Tribolium castaneum: one gene and its partners. The protein of the gene in region 1 purifies or fractionates together with the protein of each later gene. This does not show direct contact. Links are inferred from orthologs where the notes say so. Each region holds a gene or a part of one and is shown on either strand. Other genes may lie near its edges.

Region 1 (3,672 bases):
TTCATATCTTTGAAAACACTAGGTTTATAATTATAAACCACATCTACTTATTCATCGAACGTATCTTCAAAAGCATTAACAAATAAAGAAATTGTATTTCTGTAAATAACAAGTCGTTTGTAGAACACTTATTTTTTTACATATTTTTTTTTGTACAAAACATTCTGCAAGCATCGCTTGTTCTATAAATCATAAAAATTTCCATTAGTTAATGTTTTTAGTTTTTTTTAAATAAAATAATATTTTATTAATATAAATATTTCTCATTAATTAATATTTATTATTTATAAGAAATTGTAGAAAAAATCTGATAAAATTCGAAGGCTTACAGAAAGAAATAAAGCAAAAAAAATCACAAACGCTGATTTTTGTGTGATTATTTAAATGGATTATTATTGGTTATTAGTGATTCATTACAGTATCTCCTTAAACAAATTACTTCAATTATCACAAATAACACTTTCTTTCAATATTTATATCTTTTAAGTCAATAAAATTATCCGGAGATCTCAATACAATGCCGAAAGGAACAGTAGTGTGTAAATCGCCGTAAATGACCCAATACTTAACAGTTTTTGATTACGCAATAGATTAAATAACTCTTTGTAATCAAAAATCTTTTTCACTTTTTTATCAAAGTCCAACATAAAACACTTTATAATCACGAAAAAACGCAAAACCAAAGGCAACACTAGTATTTACCGGCATATAATTTTAAATTGACTCTCTCTAATGTAAAAAATTAACAGTACACACGCAGAATTGCTAAATAATCCATTAAATGAGCAATTACCAAAACTTGTTACTGTTTTCGGCAAGTACGACATGTCGTCACCAGAGGACGCCTAGTTAATGCATTTCTGGTGATTTCAGTTTTGTCAATTAGACTAGCCACCAAAAGTGTTTTTTTACGAATTGTTTGAATTAATTAACCCCAAGTACCATCTCGTGCAAAACCAAACGAAATAATGTGAATCGTGTCCTTGCTTTGTGTAATTTATGCCCGTATTTTCCATTTGAGTGCCCTGTTGACATTTGTTGGTGTCACCTAACCTCACAGTGTTAAAGGACGCGGCAAAATGGCCCTCCGAACATTCGGTGAAAAACCGATAACTTTCCAATTGGAGGAAAATGGGGAGTATTACTGTGTGGGCTCCGAGGTGGGGAACTACCTGCGCCTGTTCCGGGGTTCCCTCTACAAGAAATACCCCGGAATGTACCGCAGGTCAATCACAAACGAGGAACGCAAACGCCTCATCGAGCTGGGCTTGAGCCAGCACGTTCTGGCCAGCAGTGTCTCACTGCTTCGGGCCTCGGAAGTCGAGGATATCATTGAGGGAAATGACGAAAAGTTGGTTTGTTTTTTGGGGGTTTTGTTGTTATTTGTTGATTATTTAGGTATAAGGCTGTTTCGGTGCACACTTCGGACCCGCCGATGCCGAGGGAGAGTAAATCGAAGAAGTCGATGCAATGGGTGCCCTCACTCCCAAACTCCAGTCATTTGGACGCTGTGCCCCAAGCCACCCCGATTAATCGGAACAGAGTGGCGGCGAAGAAAGTTCGGACGTTTCCGTTATGTTTTGATGATACTGATCCAGAGCTGAATATGCAAAATGCGGCACAAGGGGAGTTGTTGGTCCCGATAAGGCTGGATATGGAAATTGAGGGGCAGAAGCTGAGAGACACTTTCACGTGGAATAAAAACGGTAATTTTTTGGGTTTTTCTAATCACAGTACGCTCTGCATTTGAAATAAAGTTGTAACTTTTACATTATTTATTCTTATCAACTTATTTTCGAATACTTATTAGCGCATTTTGATCTGAAATTTAATTCTTGAATAATTTTTAAACCTGCCACCAGTCATTTAAACTAATCAAGATTGCGTGATACGAGAAAAATATGTTGGCAATGACTGTAGTCTAGTAACTAAGGTTACATCTGTTATCTAAATTGACACCATATTGTTGATACTGGGTCCTGATTATTAACTACAAACTTGTAGTAAATGATAAATTTTTTGATAAAACGCATTTTTAAACACTTTTAATATGATTTATAACTTTTTTTGAGTTTAATTTAATTAAAACACGTCAAAAGATCATCTAAATATGTCGAAAATGACCTGAATTTGACACTCTTTAAAAACAGTTCCAATTAGATTAAAGTGTATGTTTTCTTTAAAGTGACTTTGCTTTTTTGTTGAAGCAAAACTTCATAAAAACGCTAAAAAATCATCTAAATATGTTGAGTAATAGCGTTATTTCCAGATTATTTTGCCTTTTTTTTATTAAACTTATCTTGTTTTTGAGTATGAGACTTACTTGTTCTTGAAAGTTTTGTCAAAAAATGACTAAATTAGGTCGAAATTGACGTTTTCTTCAGTAGTGATTTGGACACATTTCGTGAAAATGCACCGAAAAATCATCTAAATATGTCAAAACTTATGTCATTTTGACAATGTTTTCTCTTTTTTGAAAACTTTTTTTTTATTAAATACCCCGAAAAATATCTAAATATATCGAAAGTTACGGTTGGTTCGACATTATTTTAGTTTTTGTCGTTAGATTTATTTTTTTTAGCGAGAAACTGACTTTTTTGTAAAATTTTGTCAAAAATAAGCAAATTGAGATAAAATTGACGTCCTAGTTTTAAGAATTTCTGGTAGGTTTATTTGTTTTGGAGCCAGGAACTGCAAAGTTTCGTGACAGAATTAATCAAATGTAATGTTTTTTTTAACAGCTTAATTTCTTAAAATAATCTAGCTTTGTTTTTATACGAAATTGCATTAAAATGCGCCGAAAAATTTACTTTCATATTTTTCTTGCCTTTTTCATTAAGTAAGTAAGTAAGTTTTTGAGCGAAAATCTCCATTGTTTTGAAGAATTTTGTCAAAAAGCCAATTTAAATAAAAATTGAGGTGCTTTTTCAGTCTATTTAATATATTATTATTTATTAATTATTCTAACCAACTGTATTTCTGTTGAAAAATGTACTAAACACGCTCAAAAATGTAAAATAATTGAGTTTTAAGTTTAAAATGGTGATAAAACTCCCAAAAAATGCAAAATTATCACCATTTTTGACGCAGGTTAGTGACTTTTCGGCTTATTTTTGAGAAATTTAATAATAATAAAAGTGTTTTATTCTCCCATTTTTGTTATTTGATAATTGTAGAGTGGGCCCAAGTCCCAAACCTTTGTTTTTATCTATAGCCGACCTAATTTAAAGTTTAGACCAAGTAAATACCAACTCAAGAAAAAAAAAACTTTTTTTTTTTTTCAGAAGTTTCGTTTTTTCTTCTGTCTTTTTGTTTTTTAGTTCGAACATGTATTTGACTGTCATCCTTCATCATCAACAGAGTATTTTTTTTAATTACACAATATTTTGTGCATTGTTGTTAGTTTCGTAGTTTTTTTATTTTTATTATTTTTATATTTGTTGAAATCGGGATATTAGAAATTATATTTAGGGTTTCAATTACCAACTGTTAAACTTTTATAAAAAAAATTTAACAAGACGAAAATACAAAACAACCGTTGGGTATTTTTGAGAGACGATTTTTTAAAATAAAAAAAATAAAAAAAAATTGTATAAAAAATAATGTTTGGTGCTTTTGAGCGACTAGTTTTTGGTTTTTTTTTCAATATCAAAAAAATCAGCAAACGTAACT
Region 2 (3,756 bases), on another chromosome or scaffold:
AGTACTTAAAGCTGCGAGAATTATGCTGTGACTTTCGGTTCAACTTTCTTTTTTTACATATCAAAATTGTTAGACTTTTTTTTAATGTTTCGTGAACAACCAAAAATAACCTCCACAACACCAAAACGTTTGGTTATACGAAATTTAGGTCATGTAAAAAAATAAGCTTTAATCTGTAATTATTAGATTTTAGAGTTTTATAAAAGGTGCTCATTGTAAGACATGTGGTCATAGAATCAAAAAAAAACTAATTATAAATCCTTATTTATCTTGGATTATTGACAATACAATATAAAGACTGCCATTTTACGTTTTTTAATTAGTTTTTTTATAAGTGCAATATTTCGAAATAATGAATTTGGTTTATTGGCTCAATGTTTTAATTGTTTGCTTTTGATTCCAGTAATTGTAATTTAACTGAATTCATTATTTCCGTTTGTTTTTTCTTTTGATGTGATGTATATTTGTTAAAACGAGAAATTATACTCTACGAAAACATAAGTATAGGTACTTACCAATAAGGATGTGTAATATGAAATGTACTAGATTTAATAATTTATTAACGGGTCTATCTGTTAGTCTGTGTAGACAAAAAAGAAAAATATTTATAGTAGAACTCTGTCTAGGTAAAAAAATGTAAAAATGATTCCTATACTGTATATGAAAATAATAAAATGTACTAAACTTGATTGTCTTTATTGAACAAAATCTCTTTAACATGTTGTGCTATCCTAATTTTCTTCCTTTTCTTCTTCTCTTCTGTATTTTTCACCACTTTATCCACCTCTCCTGACTTATTTTTCTTCTTCTTCTTGCACGACAAAGGGTTTGGCCCTTTCTTCTTCCTCTTCACTTTCTTACCTTTGGCTTCAACTAAACCACTCTCCAATTTCAACTTTTCAATTTTCTGTCTCTCACTTACACTTAAGCCTTCAGCCCTACTTCTAGTGGCCTCAACTGTTACCTCTGAAGGTTGTTCCAATACTGGAGTCTTCCCATGAAGATAAAGAAGCGGTACACCCACTTTATGTCTCACATTATTTTGTAAATCTCTATCTTGAGTTGCGATAACGTAATGATTAAGATTTGTATCACCCAACATTGATAACAAGCACTCTGAGGCAACAACTGGTTGTCCTTCATGTCCGCATTTGTGAATGGGAAATTTCTTCAAGATGATTAAAGCGCCCCCCAACTTAGTACCCAAATTTTCCATTTCGATGATTGCACATTGTGTAGTCAACAATTTAAGCTCCCCTTGTAAGTATCTCGGAACATTGTCAGCGATATTCACTTTATTCTACACTTAAGACTTAAATAAACAGCTTTTTAAACGGGTCATTTACTTACGTTCAAAGCTGCAAAACAAAACGTTCCGTCTAGTAGGATTTGATAAGGCTGCCGAAACCCGAAATTATTTATGTAGAAGTTTAAGTGTTTGTGCACTTTTTTGTACCTTTTTATCTTCATTGTAACTTAATAAACACGCACAAATTGTTATTTTAATCATGAATCTAACCTCACAACGTGACGTTTAATACCGGTTGGTGTTCCTGCAAGTTTAGGGTTTTTGTTGTTTTTTTCATGCGTTGCCGCCAACTCACAACTGTCACTAGAAAAAACACCAGTCAAGTGAACTCGAACGAAATTACGACAAATGTGAGCTTCGTTTTTCGTTAAAATAATTGTTTTTAAGTGCAACCACGTTAATTAAGTGAAAATGTCTGTGGGATTCGGTCAACGTGGCGGTAATCGACCGCCACCAAACCCAGCACAAGTACAAAAAATGCTCGACGAAAATGGACATTTGATTCAAACAATTCAAGAGTATCAAAGCAAAGGAAAAGCTCCAGAAGTTGTCCAGTATCAACAAGCATTGCACAGGAATTTAACTTATCTAGCCACGATGGCAGACTCTGCTCAAAATGTTCAGTCTTTTTTGCCTGTAAGTATAAACAAAGAGTGGCTTGTGTAACAAAGGTTAAGGTAAAACTACGCCAAACGGGTATTAATTACTGTAGTTTATGCAACTTTGTGAGAAATTGATTGCGAATTACGTATGAAAATTGGTATGTGATATTATTTTAAAATTTACTAACCTTGAGACATATTTGTTGTTGATTCAAAAGAGTGCATGGGGACTTGATTTCAGCGTAGATCTACGCTTTGTTTGACGTGCTTCTATTTAAATCGCGACAAAAAATAAAAGGATTATGATTTTATCTTTGAAATAACAATAAAATGCCTGTTTTTAATTCTTGTATTTATTTTGTATTAACATTTACAAATCAGGTGCTAACTACTGACAGGGCCGGACTACAGGTAAAATTCTTTCCGAATACCTTTCGGGAACACATCTAAGAAAGTACATTTCCAAAATTGCGATTTTATTAAAATAGCTCTAATAAAAAGTAAAACCAATCCCATTTTACAATAGCCTTTCCCCAAACTAGTCCGGTCCTGTCATGAATCTAAGTCAGTTGATAAATAACAAAATTTCAGATCCCCTCCCCATTTCTACAACTATATTTTCTATTCAGATGTTGCAAACACAGGCACCCCCACCACCGCACGGCCAGCCGCCACCCACAATGGATCAACAGCACATGAACAATTTCAACCACCAACAACAACCCGCCTACCGCCAGCCTCCAGGACCGCAACGCCCTGGCGTTCCAACCCACCCTTACCCCCAGCGAGGTTACCAACAAAACCAATACCCTGGCCAATACCCACCTCAAGGTAACGCCTATCCCCAACAAAACCAATACCCCACAAACCAACCCCCGGTCTATCCCCCATCGAATGCTCAAGCCAATTACGGACAACCACCGTCAACGACAGCACACAACAACTACCAACAGCCGGGTTACGGCACGCCCCCACCTGGTGGAGCCCCACCCCAACCGGGTGCAGGGCCCTACCCTCCGCCAGGTGCCCCGCCCCAAGCCCCACCCGGGACGTACCCTAATGGTGGCCCCTACCCCAATTCCACGGCTCCACAGACTTACCCACAGGGATACCCGCCCCAGCCGGGCTACGCCCCGCCTCCACCCTCTAGCCAACCACAAACGTCCCCCGCCTCTTATCCCAACCAACCAAGTACGTCTCCACAAAATTACGGGCCTAGTAATACCCAGTCTCCGCCCTTTTCGGCTCCACCCAATAATAATCAAAGTCCTGCGGTTACTTCGGCTCCACCCACCACACCACAACCGTATCAACCTCCATATCCACCCAATTCTCAGCCCTCGAATCCTAACGCAGGATACACACCCAATACCCCACAAGGGTATCCCCCTGCAGGACCGCCCAATAATTATGGGTATGCCCCACAACCTGGCTATCCACCACAGCCTCAATATGGGGGACAACCACAAGGGTACCAGTATCCAAGGCCTCCAACAGCACAAGGTCCACCACCTCCGCAAGGGCAGTATGGGTACAATTACCCTGCCCAGCCAAACCCACAGTAGAAAGTCCTTATTCTATGTTCCATTTTTTAGGAATCAACTCGAAGTACTTATCGTATTTCTGCGTTTTTTTTAGTTTTTTTCTCTCGAGAAATAGTGTGATATTGAATGTTTTTTCTTTTGTATCGCCATTTCATTGTAATAAATTTGACAAAATAAGCACTTAATCATTAATGACCACAGCCCTCCAAACGCCAAATTTCTTCAAAAATATAAAATAAAAACGTAACTAGAACTAGGATAGCTGAGACCTGCTTTCTGTGGCAGCTGCTACCACCCAACA
Region 3 (3,756 bases), on another chromosome or scaffold:
TTCATTCTTTACCTAAACACCTCAACTCTTGAGCATCAATTTTTTGTGCTTTTGTGTTGTAAAAAAAGAGTGTTACTAGAACTAGCGTTATTTTCATCTTATTGTCAGAACAATTTTGCACTTTTTCGGAATAAACTGGCAAGAATAATATTTTCGCGGCTCGCTTTCTTCAAAATAAAACTGGTTGACGTTCATAATTTTCTAATGACACGTTTCTACCTTCTGATTGGCTAAATTGGGCTTATGCTGATAGTGATGGCTGATAGTATTTGCTCCAATGGTATTTCCCGTAATGAAAATTATTTGAACCGAAAATCTTTCACAGTTATAATCCCGTGGTTTTTATAATGTAAAATTAAATCGATAAAATACATAACCAAACGGTCCAATAATACAGTTAGTTTTTGTAAGAATTATCTAATTGGGAATAATAATTGGATTAATTTGGGTTGAATTCTAACTAATTGGATGTTTCTGTTTTTTACGGTAATTTTTTACAAGTTTATCAGAAGTGTATTGGAGCCGTTTTGACTCGGAGCACAAACGTGACCCCATTTTCTTCAATTATTTATTGTCTGTCATAGAATAGAAGCACTGATTGAAGTGGGCAACCCAAAATACAATAAACCAAGTGAATTTATTTTTTTTTCAACTCTTATCTTTCTCAAAAAGCTCAAAAGCTCTTAAATATTAGCATATGGTATTTGTTTCAAGTTTCAGATTGCTACATAATTTTTTAAATGGAATTTATGACCTGTTTTAAATTTCCAATGTTCTCCATGCATCACTGTGTGTGTGTGTGTGTGTGTTTTTTTTTGATGTTTTGAATCCAAAAATGTGATTTTCAACTATTTTTATACACTCACTTCAGTTATTATTATTTTTTTAATTTTTCATTGTGGTTCTTATTGCCGAAGAGAGTGACTAAATTAATAATTAGTAATTAAAATGTGTCTTCTTGAGGTGTGTGTTATGCAGTAATGTTCACTGGATGTATATTCAACATAAAGTGGATTTATGAATTAATTGCATAGACAAGTTTTTTACTTGTTTTCAGATTTTTATTTAATTTTATATTTTTTATTAGCCTCTGCAGCCACGTAATCATTGGCACGAATACTTTTAGAAATTGTTTAGTTGATTAATTTCTTGTAGGTATAATTATTTTTAATAGTAATAAAAATGTTTAGGTGTAGTTTATTAATAATAATTAATAGACACAAAAAGAGTTTGAATCTTGATGTCCGGCTTAATAAGATTAATAACAGTCAGAGGTCAGTTTAAAACTTTTACATCTGCTACACGCTCAACTAATCCGAAAATGGGCACTACATTGTTCTTTGGCGGGTATTTTTAAAAATCGATAACAGCGCCACTGTTCTCTTCACATTGAACTATCAGAGCAAGCATCAAACAAACCTTTTACGGATCAGACAATTGATTCGAGGGGCGGTCGCTAGTATCCGAAACTGAAAAAATCCACAATATGACTAAAGTGTAATTTTTCTGGAATTGGGAGCTCATCCTGTGGCACGTCGTAATGTTTGTGTGTAGGTTTTGTGCATTTTGGTGATCAAAAACTTGAAAAATTTGAAAGTGGGCAAAGCGACCAACCACCCGAAATTGATGGACTCGTCCAAACAAGCTCGGAGATTTGAAGCAGCCAGTCAGTCGACAATCGGTCATCGTTTCGGGTGGTTCGGAACAGAATGTGTCAGAATTTTCTTTTGATGAATTCTAGTGTTTTCCAATTATTTCCCAGTGAAATCAGCGCGGATCGGTTGCAATTGTACGGTGCATCCCCGGCACCAGTCCGCACGGAAGCGCTTTCCGCGAAAGAGGCTTTTGTAAGGTGAGTGACATATTTTTAACTTTTCACATTGACACAAGTGTTGTGTAATTGCAATTCCCAATTCGGCGCCGCTTTTCCAGCATTTCCCATGGTTTTTCCGCGATTTCGGCGTCGGCGTTCCAAAATTAGCCTCCGTCGCGGGGGCCGGCACTCTCCCTCCGTGGAAATTTCGTCGGCCTGGCAACGCTTTTCCGCCGAAAATCTGCCGACCTTTCGGTAATTACGAAATTTCGATGCAACATTTTGTATTTGTTTACTGACAAAGAGTCGCGTCCGATTTTCGGCTTTATGCACTTTCGTGTTTGGGTCGCTTCGGTCGCAGCGCCTCGCACGTCCGGTTCCCTGCCCTTCCACTCGCCTATCGATTCCTTCATTGGCCAATCGCGAGCCTAGCTTGCTAGATCGCGGGAGCGAAGTCGACACGCAACGTTGCCACTGCCACAAATTACTCATGCACAAAGGTGTGGCAACGTTGCCACAACACAAATGCCGAAAAATGGCCACCAGAAACCGACACGTGACGAGATTTTTATGCGGGCTTTCTAAAACTTTGACGCGCGCCTTTTCAAGGTCATCCGTGAAAGTTGATTTACTGTTTGCATAAATGGTTTAGGGTATGGACTATTTATTTGGTTATCTCACGAGTGCCAAAATGATAAGAATTGTTACCCTGAGTTTTGTTTTGTTTTTTTTTCCGGGGAGAAATACCGACGCCATTATTGTCCGGAATGACGCGATAAGTAACTGCGTAGCAGTTCGTATAAACGCTACCGGTTTTGTTTATGCCAGAAATAAATAAGTGGGCGTGTCGTTTTGCGGATCAGCTGAATTGAAAATGTTCAACATGGGATCGAGAAATGTTCCATGAACGTTGTTGCCGATATTGTTGCAAATTTTCCTCGAATCTTATATTAAAACTTTAAAAATATCAGTGGTTTTGACTATGATGGACGAAATGTTGTTGGATTTTGTTTACGTAACATGTTATTTTGAGGTTATGTCGAAATAAAGTCATCATTTTGCTCTCCTAGCTTGTAAAAAACAGTATGGTCAAATTACATTTTTAAAAGCTTTTTTACATGTTTATTTCCACAAATTATTTTTTTGTCAAATACTAGTTTAGATTTTTGTTTTTACGATTTTTAGTAATTCTTGAATAACATTTTCGTGCTGGAATGAACATGTTTATATAAAATTTCAGAGGTAAGACGAGGGAAATAATTTGATAATTATTCAATCTGTAGGACGTGTTTCATAAGAGTAGTCTGTGCGAATTTTATTAAAACTGTAATTATGTGTCACATTGTGCTCTACTTTAATATTATTCATTTATCTACCAAATAAATAGGTAGTAAAATTATTTAAATTAGAGTTTGTCTCTGTTTTTAATTTAGGTATTATTATGTATGTTTTAAATTATAACGTTATAATAATTACTAACGGTGTATATTTATTTATTTGTAAGAAAAAGGTCAGAGATAATTACAAAAACTGATCTGACAGTAATAACATGCAGAAATAATGTTTGTACAGCGGTGGATAGAGGATAAAAATGGCAAATTGTTAAAAATTAATTTACATAATCACAATTATAGGTATTGGAAAATGAAAATTGGTTTTACATGTAATAAAAAATGTAATTTCTATTGGAAACCAATTTATAATGGAATGTTAAATAAAATGCTTACCGGTTATTATCATGGGTTATATATTTTTTGTCTAAAAAACATTGTATTTTTTCACGGAAATACAATATTCATAATATCTTCTGAAATTATTAATTAAACAAAAGGTAGGTAATTGTTAGGAATTCGATTAATGTAATAAAATAGCAGCATATCATGACACGAACACGTTTTTCTTAATCTTATCACAAAAGTGTAATAATATCAACCAGATGTCTC

What was found.
Region 2: the proteins of Snr1 (region 1) and proline-rich protein HaeIII subfamily 1 purify together in Homo sapiens (affinity purification with mass spectrometry; 9 studies listed by BioGRID and IntAct, counting the BioPlex papers as one, with this or other methods). This does not show direct contact. The link is inferred for Tribolium castaneum from reciprocal best matches to the Homo sapiens genes SMARCB1 and SS18.
Region 3: the proteins of Snr1 (region 1) and Sin3A purify together in Homo sapiens (affinity purification with western blotting; 3 studies listed by BioGRID, with this or other methods). This does not show direct contact. The link is inferred for Tribolium castaneum from reciprocal best matches to the Homo sapiens genes SMARCB1 and SIN3A.

The regions. Positions count from the first base shown.
Region 1 is NC_087401.1:13,705,522-13,709,193, reverse strand, and holds the start of Snr1 (SWI/SNF-related matrix-associated actin-dependent regulator of chromatin subfamily B member 1), read left to right. Parts: upstream 1-853; 5' UTR 854-1,079; coding exon 1,080-1,351; intron 1,352-1,398; coding exon 1,399-1,706; intron 1,707-3,672.
Region 2 is NC_087398.1:224,273-228,028, forward strand, and holds proline-rich protein HaeIII subfamily 1, read left to right. Parts: upstream 1-1,575; 5' UTR 1,576-1,720; coding exon 1,721-1,945; intron 1,946-1,952; exon of another isoform or gene 1,953-2,069; intron 2,070-2,099; coding exon of another isoform or gene 2,100-2,136; exon of another isoform or gene 2,137-2,241; coding exon of another isoform or gene 2,242-2,322; intron 2,323-2,540; coding exon 2,541-3,476; 3' UTR 3,477-3,632; downstream 3,633-3,756. Other genes in the region: rRNA-processing protein UTP23 homolog, read right to left, coding at 680-1,300, 1,351-1,470. UniProt on the Homo sapiens protein: Appears to function synergistically with RBM14 as a transcriptional coactivator. Isoform 1 and isoform 2 function in nuclear receptor coactivation. Isoform 1 and isoform 2 function in general transcriptional coactivation.
Region 3 is NC_087396.1:24,661,962-24,665,717, reverse strand, and holds the start of Sin3A (paired amphipathic helix protein Sin3b), read left to right. Parts: upstream 1-1,265; 5' UTR 1,266-1,852; intron 1,853-1,932; 5' UTR 1,933-2,068; intron 2,069-3,756. Other genes in the region: sel (protein seele), read right to left, coding at 13-97. UniProt on the Homo sapiens protein: Acts as a transcriptional repressor. Corepressor for REST. Interacts with MXI1 to repress MYC responsive genes and antagonize MYC oncogenic activities. Also interacts with MXD1-MAX heterodimers to repress transcription by tethering SIN3A to DNA.